Daphnia pulex: one gene and its partners. The main gene of each other region encodes a partner of the protein of the gene in region 2 in a complex. Links are inferred from orthologs where the notes say so. Each region holds a gene or a part of one and is shown on either strand. Other genes may lie near its edges.

The links. The genes of interacting proteins can lie anywhere in the genome.
Region 1: chromatin modification-related protein MEAF6-like (region 2) and histone acetyltransferase Tip60-like share a complex: the UniProt entries of both Homo sapiens proteins name them as parts of the nuA4 histone acetyltransferase complex. The link is inferred for Daphnia pulex from reciprocal best matches to the Homo sapiens genes MEAF6 and KAT5.
Region 3: chromatin modification-related protein MEAF6-like (region 2) and histone acetyltransferase KAT7-like share a complex: the UniProt entries of both Homo sapiens proteins name them as parts of the HBO1 complex. The link is inferred for Daphnia pulex from reciprocal best matches to the Homo sapiens genes MEAF6 and KAT7.

Annotation. Positions count from the first base shown.
Region 1 is NC_060018.1:12,586,684-12,590,347, reverse strand, and holds histone acetyltransferase Tip60-like, read right to left. Parts: upstream 2,941-3,664; 5' UTR 2,890-2,940; coding exon 2,818-2,889; intron 2,756-2,817; coding exon 2,698-2,755; intron 2,624-2,697; coding exon 2,555-2,623; exon of another isoform or gene 2,491-2,554; coding exon 2,182-2,490; exon of another isoform or gene 2,115-2,181; coding exon 2,040-2,114; exon of another isoform or gene 1,968-2,039; coding exon 1,771-1,967; exon of another isoform or gene 1,709-1,770; coding exon 1,625-1,708; exon of another isoform or gene 1,563-1,624; coding exon 1,238-1,562; exon of another isoform or gene 1,174-1,237; coding exon 1,011-1,173; exon of another isoform or gene 944-1,010; coding exon 727-943; 3' UTR 640-726; downstream 1-639. Other genes in the region: serine/threonine-protein phosphatase 2A regulatory subunit B'' subunit gamma-like, read left to right, coding at 42-255, 320-447, 514-631; threonine aspartase 1-like, read left to right, coding at 3,074-3,175, 3,235-3,518, 3,584-3,664. UniProt on the Homo sapiens protein: Catalytic subunit of the NuA4 histone acetyltransferase complex, a multiprotein complex involved in transcriptional activation of select genes principally by acetylation of nucleosomal histones H2A and H4.
Region 2 is NC_060026.1:14,091,005-14,093,775, forward strand, and holds chromatin modification-related protein MEAF6-like, read right to left. Parts: upstream 1,380-2,771; 5' UTR 1,312-1,379; coding exon 1,237-1,311; intron 1,171-1,236; coding exon 964-1,170; intron 906-963; coding exon 705-905; 3' UTR 565-704; downstream 1-564. Other genes in the region: V-type proton ATPase subunit D-like, read right to left, coding at 67-184, 293-333; histone deacetylase 8-like, read left to right, coding at 1,438-1,584, 1,718-1,892, 1,955-2,131, 2,190-2,261, 2,331-2,523, 2,595-2,771.
Region 3 is NC_060023.1:9,594,050-9,597,806, forward strand, and holds the start of histone acetyltransferase KAT7-like, read right to left. Parts: upstream 2,431-3,757; 5' UTR 2,332-2,430; coding exon 2,308-2,331; intron 2,072-2,307; coding exon 1,584-2,071; intron 1,521-1,583; coding exon 1,351-1,520; intron 1,274-1,350; coding exon 980-1,273; intron 917-979; coding exon 779-916; intron 719-778; coding exon 456-718; intron 395-455; coding exon 168-394; intron 1-167. UniProt on the Homo sapiens protein: Catalytic subunit of histone acetyltransferase HBO1 complexes, which specifically mediate acetylation of histone H3 at 'Lys-14' (H3K14ac), thereby regulating various processes, such as gene transcription, protein ubiquitination, immune regulation, stem cell pluripotent and self-renewal maintenance and embryonic development.

The DNA of each region.
Region 1 (3,664 bases), on a different chromosome or scaffold from region 2:
CAGTACGTACATTTAAGATTTTTTTTAAATTTAATTTTCAGATTCGGAACTGGCACGTTGACGCGAGTTTTCATTCAACGAGTATTCGAGGAGTGCATGACCTATGAGAAAGAAATGGATTATAAAACGTACTTGGATTTCGTATTGGCCATGGACAATAAAAAGGAACCACAAGCACTTCAGTATTTTTTCCGTTTGTTGGACGTCAATCATCGAAACCATCTCAACACTTTTGACCTCCATTTTTACTTCAAAGTATTAATTTCCTCATTTGACCTTTTGACTTTCTTATCTTGAAAAAAAAAAAAATGCTTTGCAGGGGGTTCAAGAGTTGATGCAGCAGCACAAACAAGAAGTCGTTGCTTTTGACGACGTCAATGATGAGATTTTCGATATGGTGCGTCCTGCCGATCCGTCAAAAATCACTTTACATGATTTGATTAACTGGTAACACACAAAGTTCATTTAGAATTTTTTTAGAATAAGATTGTCATTGAACGTTTTCTGGCTCAGTGGATACGGTGAAACTGTGATCAATATCTTGATTGATTTGGATGGATTTTGGACATACGAGAACCGTGAAGCTGTTGTCGTAACAGACAAGAATAACCAAGAGAAACAGGACATTTGAATTTGGAATTCTTGTACATAGAAATTGTGAGTGTATTTTTTAAAAAAAAGCAAAGAAGTAGCAAGATCGCGGAATGGATTGTAGGTGCGATCTCATCACCATTTCCCTCTTTTGGACCAGTCTTTCGGTGTCCAGTGCAAGCATTTGGGATCGATGTGTAATTTCCATTTCTCTTTGTTTTTTATGCAATTTTTCATCGCTTCTTCGTTCAGAATGAGTACGTACTGCCCCTTGTAGTAATTGATGAGGTTCAAATGCTGTAAGGTGGACACCACGTCCTCTTTTTTAATGCTCGTCATTTCGCAAATTTCGCTATTTAAATTAAAACGAATTCGTTTGTCAACGTGAGCTCTAGAATGAAGTAATTTACATCACTTACTTGATGGTAATTTGAGGACGTTCACCTTCACTGGATGGTTTCATATTCATCAGAATATCACAGATTGTAAAAGCCCAGTAACTGCGATAAGACAGCAACCCTAAATCGGACAGAGGTTTTTCTGGCGAGCCCGTTTTGCCTTCGAACTTGGACAGCTCGTAACCTTTACGTAAACAAAAATGGTTTTAAAAAAATATTTCCCCTTGGGTTTACGATTCTGTACGCACTGAATTCAATAAGAAGTTTTCCATATCCTTTCCGTTGATAGGGTGGTAATGTTAAGATGCAGGCGACATTGTAGTCCTCCGAGCTTTCTTTCTCTTTGCTAAAGTAGCCGACGATATGAAAACCTCGTGCATCCACTTCAGTCATGACGTAAAAGAGGAACGGATCAGTGTCGTAATACAGTGTCTTGTGATCAAGGAACAGTTTCGCTAGCAGGCATAGGTTCTGAGCGTATGCTTTATTTTTACGGCCGTCGATTTCAAAAAAAGAAATTGTCTGTTTGCGGTAAACTTCATTGCCTGGCGGATGTCTAAGATTGCACTTCATCTGTAGAAAAAGTTTAAGGGTTGATCATCCAATTAAAAATATATCGTAAAATTTTAAATTACCAGATGACGTTCTAGACATTTTTCACTTTTCCGGTACTTGAGACAAAACTCGCATATGTAAATACAAGCTTGGTGAACCATTTCCTAATTTTTGAAAAAGAATAGTAAACATTTCGGATCTTTACGTTCGTTAGATGATGACATACCTGAGGGTAGGGTGCGAAATACCAAGGTTTTATTCTGTGTCTGCCGAGTTCAATCATTTGAATATTTTTCATTCGTGTTACAACGTCATCGTGATGTGTAACAAGACTGCCCGACTGACGTGGCCCTGGTGTAGTCGGTGCAGGGGTGGACGGTGGGGCCGGAGAGTTAGCATCTCCTACCTCACAAACTGAATCACCTATGCAGAAAATTTTAGTTTTAATAATCATTTATATATAATAAATAGATTGTAGAAAAAATGACTAATTACTTGTAGGAACAGCACAACTATCGCTAACTACGGTGGGTGGCAGAGTGGGGATTGCTGGTAATTCTTTTTCAATTTCTATAAAAATAAAATTTAAAAGAATTTATGAAAAATGTAAAGAATTAATGAAATAAAATAACTTTACTTATAAGTTTCTTGGCAGGTGGGATTGGAATAATGGATCCTGGACTGGGCTCTTCTTTTTCTCCAATTTTACGTTTTCTTCCATTTCTCTTTTGTATTGCTGCAGCCAGTAGAGCAGACCCATTGACAGTAAGGTCTGATGCACTGGATGCAGCTAGTGGGGAAGAAGGACGGGAAGAACCAGTTGTTCCTCCAACTTTTTTAGGAGTACTCATGCCTGTGCCTACTTGAGTTCCATCTTTTCTAGGAAACTGAATTTTTCTCGTATCTAAGAAATCTTCTGAGACCCAATCATCAAGTCGTTTGTTGACTAGAGTTGAATTAAAAATTTTGTAAGATGATGTATCGTTAAACATAGCATATACAAAACTTACAGTCGATGTAATGGACATAAAACATCCTGATGTTGCAGATATCTTTGACACTGAGTACTTCGGCTAGAGCTAAATGATAACAAAAGAAAAACCACAATTAAACTTTCAAATCTATAAAATGATAACAAAGCAACAAATGTTACGCCAGTCTTCGGTGTTTCTCATCCGTACAGGCAACCGACAGCCTTCAACAACAGATGCCTAGATAATAGAATAAACAAAATTAAACATGGTTTCTAATGAAATAATGTAAAAATTCATACAGTTGAATCTGAAAACAGATCTTTATCTACAATCTCTTCTTTCATTTTTGACAATGACTGTTCGGTCTTCATTAGAGAAAAAGCTTTCAAAACAACAGTGCGCGGCCATGAGCGACATTGCCGCTTTTGCCGGTTGGAAATGGTAGTCTTCTGCTAGCTCTCTCACAAACTGGACCGATCAGTCCCATTTCAAATTGTAAAATGAAATTTCGGTTATGAAAATTCTCGACAAAATTTAAACCATAAAAGTGCAAAAATGTCACAGTATGGATTTGTTGCTATTCATCTTGGAGCAGGCTGCCATAGTTCAAAATCTGAAGCTATTTACAAAAAACTTTGCAAAATAACGTGTGAAAAGGCATGGCTTTCTATTAGTGATTCATGGTTTCATAGTTTGACTTGATAAGTTTTTCCCAGGGAGCAGCTTTATTGCAAGAAGGAAAATCTGCACTAGATGTTACGTGTGAATTGGTTTGCATATTAGAAGATTCACCACTAACTAATGCAGGATATGGCTCCAATCTCACTGAGAGCGGTGAAGTTGAATGTGATGCAGGAATCATGTTGTCTTTGAAACATCAAAGAAACACACGATTTGGAGCAGTCTCATCACTTAAAAGTATTAAAAATCCTATAATGGTAGCCAAAGAAATCATTTTATACCAGAATGAACCAAGACTTCTTGGTAGAACACCTCCACTGTAATTCAAAATACCATTTGCATCACTTAAAATGAGTGGTTAAATTAACACAGCCTTTTTTTTAGTGTTCTAGTAGGAGAAGGAGCGTCTGATTTTGCTAAAAACCGAGGTTTGAATCTTGTTCACAATAGCACTCTTATATCTGA
Region 2 (2,771 bases):
AAACATTGAGTAATAATTATTTTGTAATGCCAAGTAAAGTAGATACTTAATTCCTTTTCAACTTACATCAATGATCTTTTTCAGGATTGAGCGGAACCTCATTTGAAGAGCATCTGCCTTCTTTTTAAGAAGACCATGGCCTTTCTGTGCACCGGCAAGCCGATGTTTCATCAAAGTCTGTGCTCTGATTGTGTCAAGAGAAAGGAATTAAACCAAAAACTTGAAAGTTGTTATTGAGCTCTAATATGTTCTAAATTACAACTGAATCGTCTTAAAGATAAATATGACATACCCTCGAGAAGGAAAAATGGCAATTTTGTCTTTTCCCGACATTGTGTGATTAAAACTGGATCTGAATAATACAATACAAACGAATAGGGTTCGTAAGAGGGTTTAGTGTGTGGTTACCGAATTTTGACAAGAATCATCTGATCATGTGACAACAAGAGAAGGAAGAGAGGGGGAGGAGCAAATGAGCTTTCAAATCCATCTGGCGATAGAAGGATGAAACATATTTACGTAATAAGTCTGAATCGGAAAATGAATTGCGAGAACATTGGAATGTTTAATTCGAGCATTTATTCAGAAAACCAGAAAATTGACACACAGACATAAAGTTTGTTTAACACTTAGGAAGGTACATTCATAAGGGCATTCACGAAACCATGTTATAGAGAATAGGAAAATGAACAGTGAATATGAAATTATTTCAGTTTTGACTTCTTGCTCCCTCTTTTATTTATATGTCTGGATTTTGAAACTTTTCCTAACTTATCACCATTGACCCCCTCTAAACCGAGAAAATCTCTGCTGTTTTCGTCACTTCCACTCATTCCTGCTTGTGATTCAGTTTCACTGCTTCGTTCTGCTCTCTCAGAATTCAGATCAATGATCCCGCTCACAGCCTAGGTTTGAAAGAAATTTTATTTCTGTTAATTCAGTAGAAGTGTCATGCAATTCTACCGCCATAGAAGTAATTGAAGACTTGGAGAAAAGTCTTTCATTTTCCTTGAATTTCCTGTTCCTTTTGTCAGATGAAGGGTTTGACAGTTTGCTAGTACTGTTTAAATAACGGTCCCATCCTCGAATAATATTTCCGTAAAGCTGTGTATCTTCCAGGTAACTACCTTCGAATGCATAAATTTGTCTTTCCAAGTTGGCTAGGGTTTCCTACAAAACACAAATATAAACAATGAAGTAGGCAGTTTTTAAGGTTAAATTTGAATTCATTCTTACGGCGACTTCGATTCTTCGTTTGACGAGGTCAGAAAGTTCAGATCGTAAATCGGAGCTGGATGTATTTTTAGTCATTTTACAAGCCAAAATTTCGCCCTTTTCTTTTGTTGTTCAGGCGATGCTGGCGGCCATTTAATTTCGGGTTTCTTTATTGTCCGCCATGTCGCTAGTGAACGTGGCGGTGCAGACAACGTTATTCAAATGGCGGGTATACTGCCGGACGAAAAAAAGAGCTGTGATGATAACGAGGAAAAAATCATAAAATGTCCCCCTAAATCTAAAATTGGCTATGTATATTCACCGGAATTAATTCATCAATGTAATAGAGTACCAAACCTGAAGAACAGGGTAACATTTTTTTTCCATTCACCACTAAAAAATGTCACAGTTAAATTTTGACATACTTAAGCATTATGTACAACTAACTTTCAATAGTACATATAACGTATTTTGATCTCACTTTTGCTTTGTTTCTTTTCAGGCCTCATTAGTTCATCATTTGCTGGAATCTTATGGACTCTTAGATCATGTCTTGCTTTTAAACTGTGATAAAGTTAATGATGACGTCTTTCAAGGATTTCATTCTGCCGATTACATTGAATTCCTCAAAGGTGATGTGGATGTAGAGGATGAATCCAGTGAGGAATATGGTTTAGGTAATATGAATATGGAAACATGTAATGGAAATGTTAATTTATCACATTAAAATCTAATCAAGGATTTGACTGCCCCCCACTTGACAAGCTTGATGACTTTATCTCTGTGATAGCTGGTGGATCTGTAGCAGGAGCCAAAGCACTTGTTTCTGGATCTGTTGATGTGGCAGTAAATTTCTGTGGAGGCTGGCATCACGCTCAGAGAGATTGTGCATCAGGATTCTGCTACATCAATGACTGTACAATAATTTAATATTTTTATAATGAAAACACAAGGTAAAACTATTGGATTTTCAGGTGTTCTTGCCATCCTAGAATTGGAAAGAAAATTCAAACTCGTACTTTATATTGACTTGGATATTCACCACGGTAAGTCCAACCCTTTTTCAGTGTAAATGTATACAAGGATTGATACAAACCCATTTTTATTTATTTAAGGAGACGGAGTTGAAAATGCTTTCGCTTACAGCCGCAAAGTGTTTACGCTATCGTTACATAAACATGAAGAAGGATATTTTCCGGGTACAGGTTCAGTCAACGACACTGGTTTCGGCAGGGGTCGCAACTATTCATGCAATGTTCCACTCAGAGATGGGGCTTGCGATGAAACTTTCATCCACGTCTTTCAAACGTATAAATTTTCTTTTGTCTCCTTAAAACCTACAATGTGGTTCATCATCATTCATTCATCTGTGACAAAAGAGTTTTCCAGGAAGTAATGAAACGTTTTCGTCCGGAAGCAATTGTATGTCAATGTGGAGCAGATGGCCTAGCTAACGATCCATTAGGGACATTTAACTTGACACCCGTTGCATACGCCCGCTGCACCGCTGTCATCCAGAGTTACAAATTACCTACTTTGTACCTTGGCGGAGGCGG
Region 3 (3,757 bases), on a different chromosome or scaffold from region 2:
AGTTTCAATCTCCAATGAATCTGAGATGGAGAAGATCCAGGGCGATTTGTCGTAGAATGGTGAGAGAAAGAGAGATATAAAAAGGTAGGAAAGGAATTCCAAGGAATAGGAAAGGAAAAATTGGCAAAACTAGATGTAACACAGTTAACGTAGATGTTCCGCTTTACCGATAAATCTCGTCACCAGGTGGATGTCTCCAGACACACTTGGCGGCATGCCGTCTCAACACGGTACGTGACCGCATATACACTAAACAAAACTCGCATAGGTAGAGTTTCGGTAGCCGGGCTAAATCGTCAGGATACGGGCTTTGATACCAAACTTCCATCTCGAACCTCCCCATCTCGATGAATCGTAAACCGCCCGCAGATGGTAAACTCTTCAGTTCATCCTCCTGTTATCAAAATTGGCGTAATTAGTCTTAGTTTTACATACGACAGACATGGGGTACTCACATATTTGGTGCTGGCTTCAGCCTGGGATGCCCGGAATAACGCCAGATCGTATTCTGAGGTGAGGCCGGTTAGGTTAGGTTCTCTTTCTCTCCACTTATCTTCTGCGTTTTCGTCCAGCTCGGCTGGTGCTGATGTATCGATTTCTTTTCGTTCAGATTTTTGAGCGCGTGCTTGGCGTACTTTTTGTTGTTCCTTTAACTGTTCACTTGTCGGGCCAGATGATCGCGGTGATCTTGGAGTTCGAACATGAAAATCTTGTCGATCTGGTGAATGGTAAGCGATTAATACATTTCTTTGCATTAAAAATGATTCAAAGTACTTACTTGTACTAATGGCGGACCAGTGGTTGATTTGAGATTCTGCGTTGAGACGTAGGGCAGCGCATTCAGACATGGTTAAATTGTGATAAGAGGGGCAGGCTTGCAAACTTAAGTGGCGGTCAGTTTTTCCATTTAAATGACCTATTCAATCAAAATAAATAATTTAAAAAATCCAAACTCTATCATTAATTACAAAAGCTTCACCTGAGGAATCGCAGCCAGCCATTGGGCACTTCTTCTCTTCTACTGACGGAGTGTTACAGCTCTCATGAGAAGACGGAGCGCTGCCACTGTAGCTGCTGATTTCTTTGGGTGTAAGTTTGCGATTGCCAATAGATGACGATTTTCCCTTTGCAGCAGCTGGTTTCCGTTTACCCGTTGCACTGCTCGATTTGTTACTGACTGGAACTTCGACTTCGGAATCCGAATCGGAAACTTTACCAATGACGTGCTTACTTTTTCTTATTCGGGCACTGGAAGATCTCGTTAATTTCCTCGCTGTACAATTGAAAAATCGTTATGTATCATGTAGAAGCGTTAAATAATAATTTAAAAATACACAAATAAAATTTTACCAGGTTGTTTTCCCTTTGTTTTAGTCTCTGCTTCACTTTCAGATGATTTCCTAGCTGCTGGTCTTGGTTGGACTCTTGCACGGGGACCTTTTGACTTGGGTTGGTTGACCTGATTCCCAGACTCTGTGTCTGTATCCGATGCTTCAGATGACTGCAACACTGCACTTTTCCTGGTAATTTTATAATGAGAATATCACAACTGCACAAAAACAACTACACATATGATATAATACTTGGGAATTGTTGGAACATCACTATCACTACTCATGCTGCTATTTTCAGGGCTGAAAATACTCCTCATCTTCTGCTGAAGTTTAGGACTTTTGTTGCTTGCTTCAGAAACGGTTGCACTTGAACTTGGTTGAGGTTGCTTTTTGACTGGTGTGCTGTTCTTAGCAGGGGGCTTTTTAACAGCTTTTGCAGGCACTGCAGCGGCTGCTGGTTTCTTTGATGGCTGGGGTGGCTTTGCCTTTGTCGGAGCATTATTTTGCTTTTTCTTGGGTTCTTCCTTCTTAACTGGAGTTTCTTTCTTGGGAGCAGAATCTGAACTGGAATTGGTGCTGGACACTCGTGTTCGGTTCACTTTTTTTTTATTGCACTGCTTTGGTGCCGAAGCTTGTGAACTTTCAGAATCTGAACTACTAGAATCACTTCCTGATGATGATGAAGATGAACTGCTATCACTGCTGCTACTGGAACTTGTGTCTTCTGAGCTGCTCACCTGTTTCATAAAAAAACAAATCATTAAAACGAAGAATAAACCGACAACAATAACGTAAAATGAAAGTTTTGGCACGAAATTATATTCGGCTAGTGGTTCCAAACAGGTTGTGTATTTTGCCGATTTTACAACGATTTGGATTTTTTAAATGCTTTCTTAAGAAAACTAATTACAAGAAAATTACACATCTATCACTTTCATACGCTAAATCATCTTAAATAACGTTATTTACGCACCTTTTTTTTAGGTTTGCTAGACATTTTGCCTTTTACTCCTCCAAAGTTTTTGACAGGGTTACTGCTCTATGTTTGAAGCTGCTCTAGTTTGTTTATTGACAACACATTTATCCGCCATTTTCAACTGCTGTTGTGTTTGTGTTGTGACCGGTTTGTCATGAATTTCAATGTCGGAGGCTTTAGCGAAAGCATTAAATATTCTTATCAGCAGTTTTGCAAACAAGATGCAGAAGGAAGAGAGTCCAATCGTCGATTGTTAGTGAAACTAAAGAAATTTGAAGCAAAATCATTTGATTTGGTAGCCCAAACTCAAGTTGCCCAACAGATGAGAAATCAATATGAAAGAACACTTATGCAACAGAATCCTGTTCTGTGGGCTCAAATTCAAAGAAACATTGCCATAGACATGACAGACTTTGAACTTGAACGTCCATTAACTGGTCACAGCGGCAGAAAACACACAAGAGAAATGGCAATGAACACTTCACATAACTCTTCAACTTCAGAGCAACATTCTTTGCATGAAGAAGGTGTTTGGCCTCATACCCCATCTCCTTTCCCTGAATTGGATGCCCAGCAGTTTGCAAGTGATCAGAGCACACACCTCAACATTCGTTCTTCTACACTTGCTGTGCCTCATTCTCAAGATACTTTAGAGAGTCTCAATAAAACTAGAGATAGCAAAGTTTCAAATAGTCATTCAGCACTTCAAAATGAATCATTGAGTCATCATCAAGGCCATATTCAGGATAAACATCCCCTGACGACTTCAGTTCCAGACTTTCAACAGCCAGCTCAAAATATTGTTGCATCTCCACAAGTGGATGATTTTATTCCACCAAGTAGTTCTACTCCCAATGTCATTGCAAAGCAAAGAAAATCTTATCCAAATCAACCTTCTATTGCTGTGTCAAATTTGGAATTATTAAAAGAAGAATCAATTGGAGTCCTTGAGAATAACTTGGAACAAGAAAAAGATGTCAAACTTACAACAACCATCGAACTCAAAACTCCTTTGAGCAGCGTAACGGAAATCCCGGCAGCAAATCCTATTACTACTTACGATGAATCTCAGAAAGGCAGCAACGACGAAGATTTCCGGAAGCTACAACCTATGGAAACAGTTATTAGTGATGAAGCCGCTCAACACGTTTCCCCACATCAATCACCACAAAAAATAAAGCCTTTCTGTTTAGATTCCGAGTCCGATGGTGCTGATGATCCCATATCTGGTCCGCTAAGTGGCAGAAATGTAGGCGACGACGATTCAGACTCTTTTTGGAATTGAGCAATTAACGTTTATTTATTTTCCTAATCCCCTTAATATCATTGTATGTAGTTAACTTCCGCAAATAAATTTTTAAAATATCAAGCACCAACTGTAAGCTTACATCATTAGTTAAAAAAGAAAAAGCGTAGCAATAATGTACTTTGAGAATGCAAAACAGGT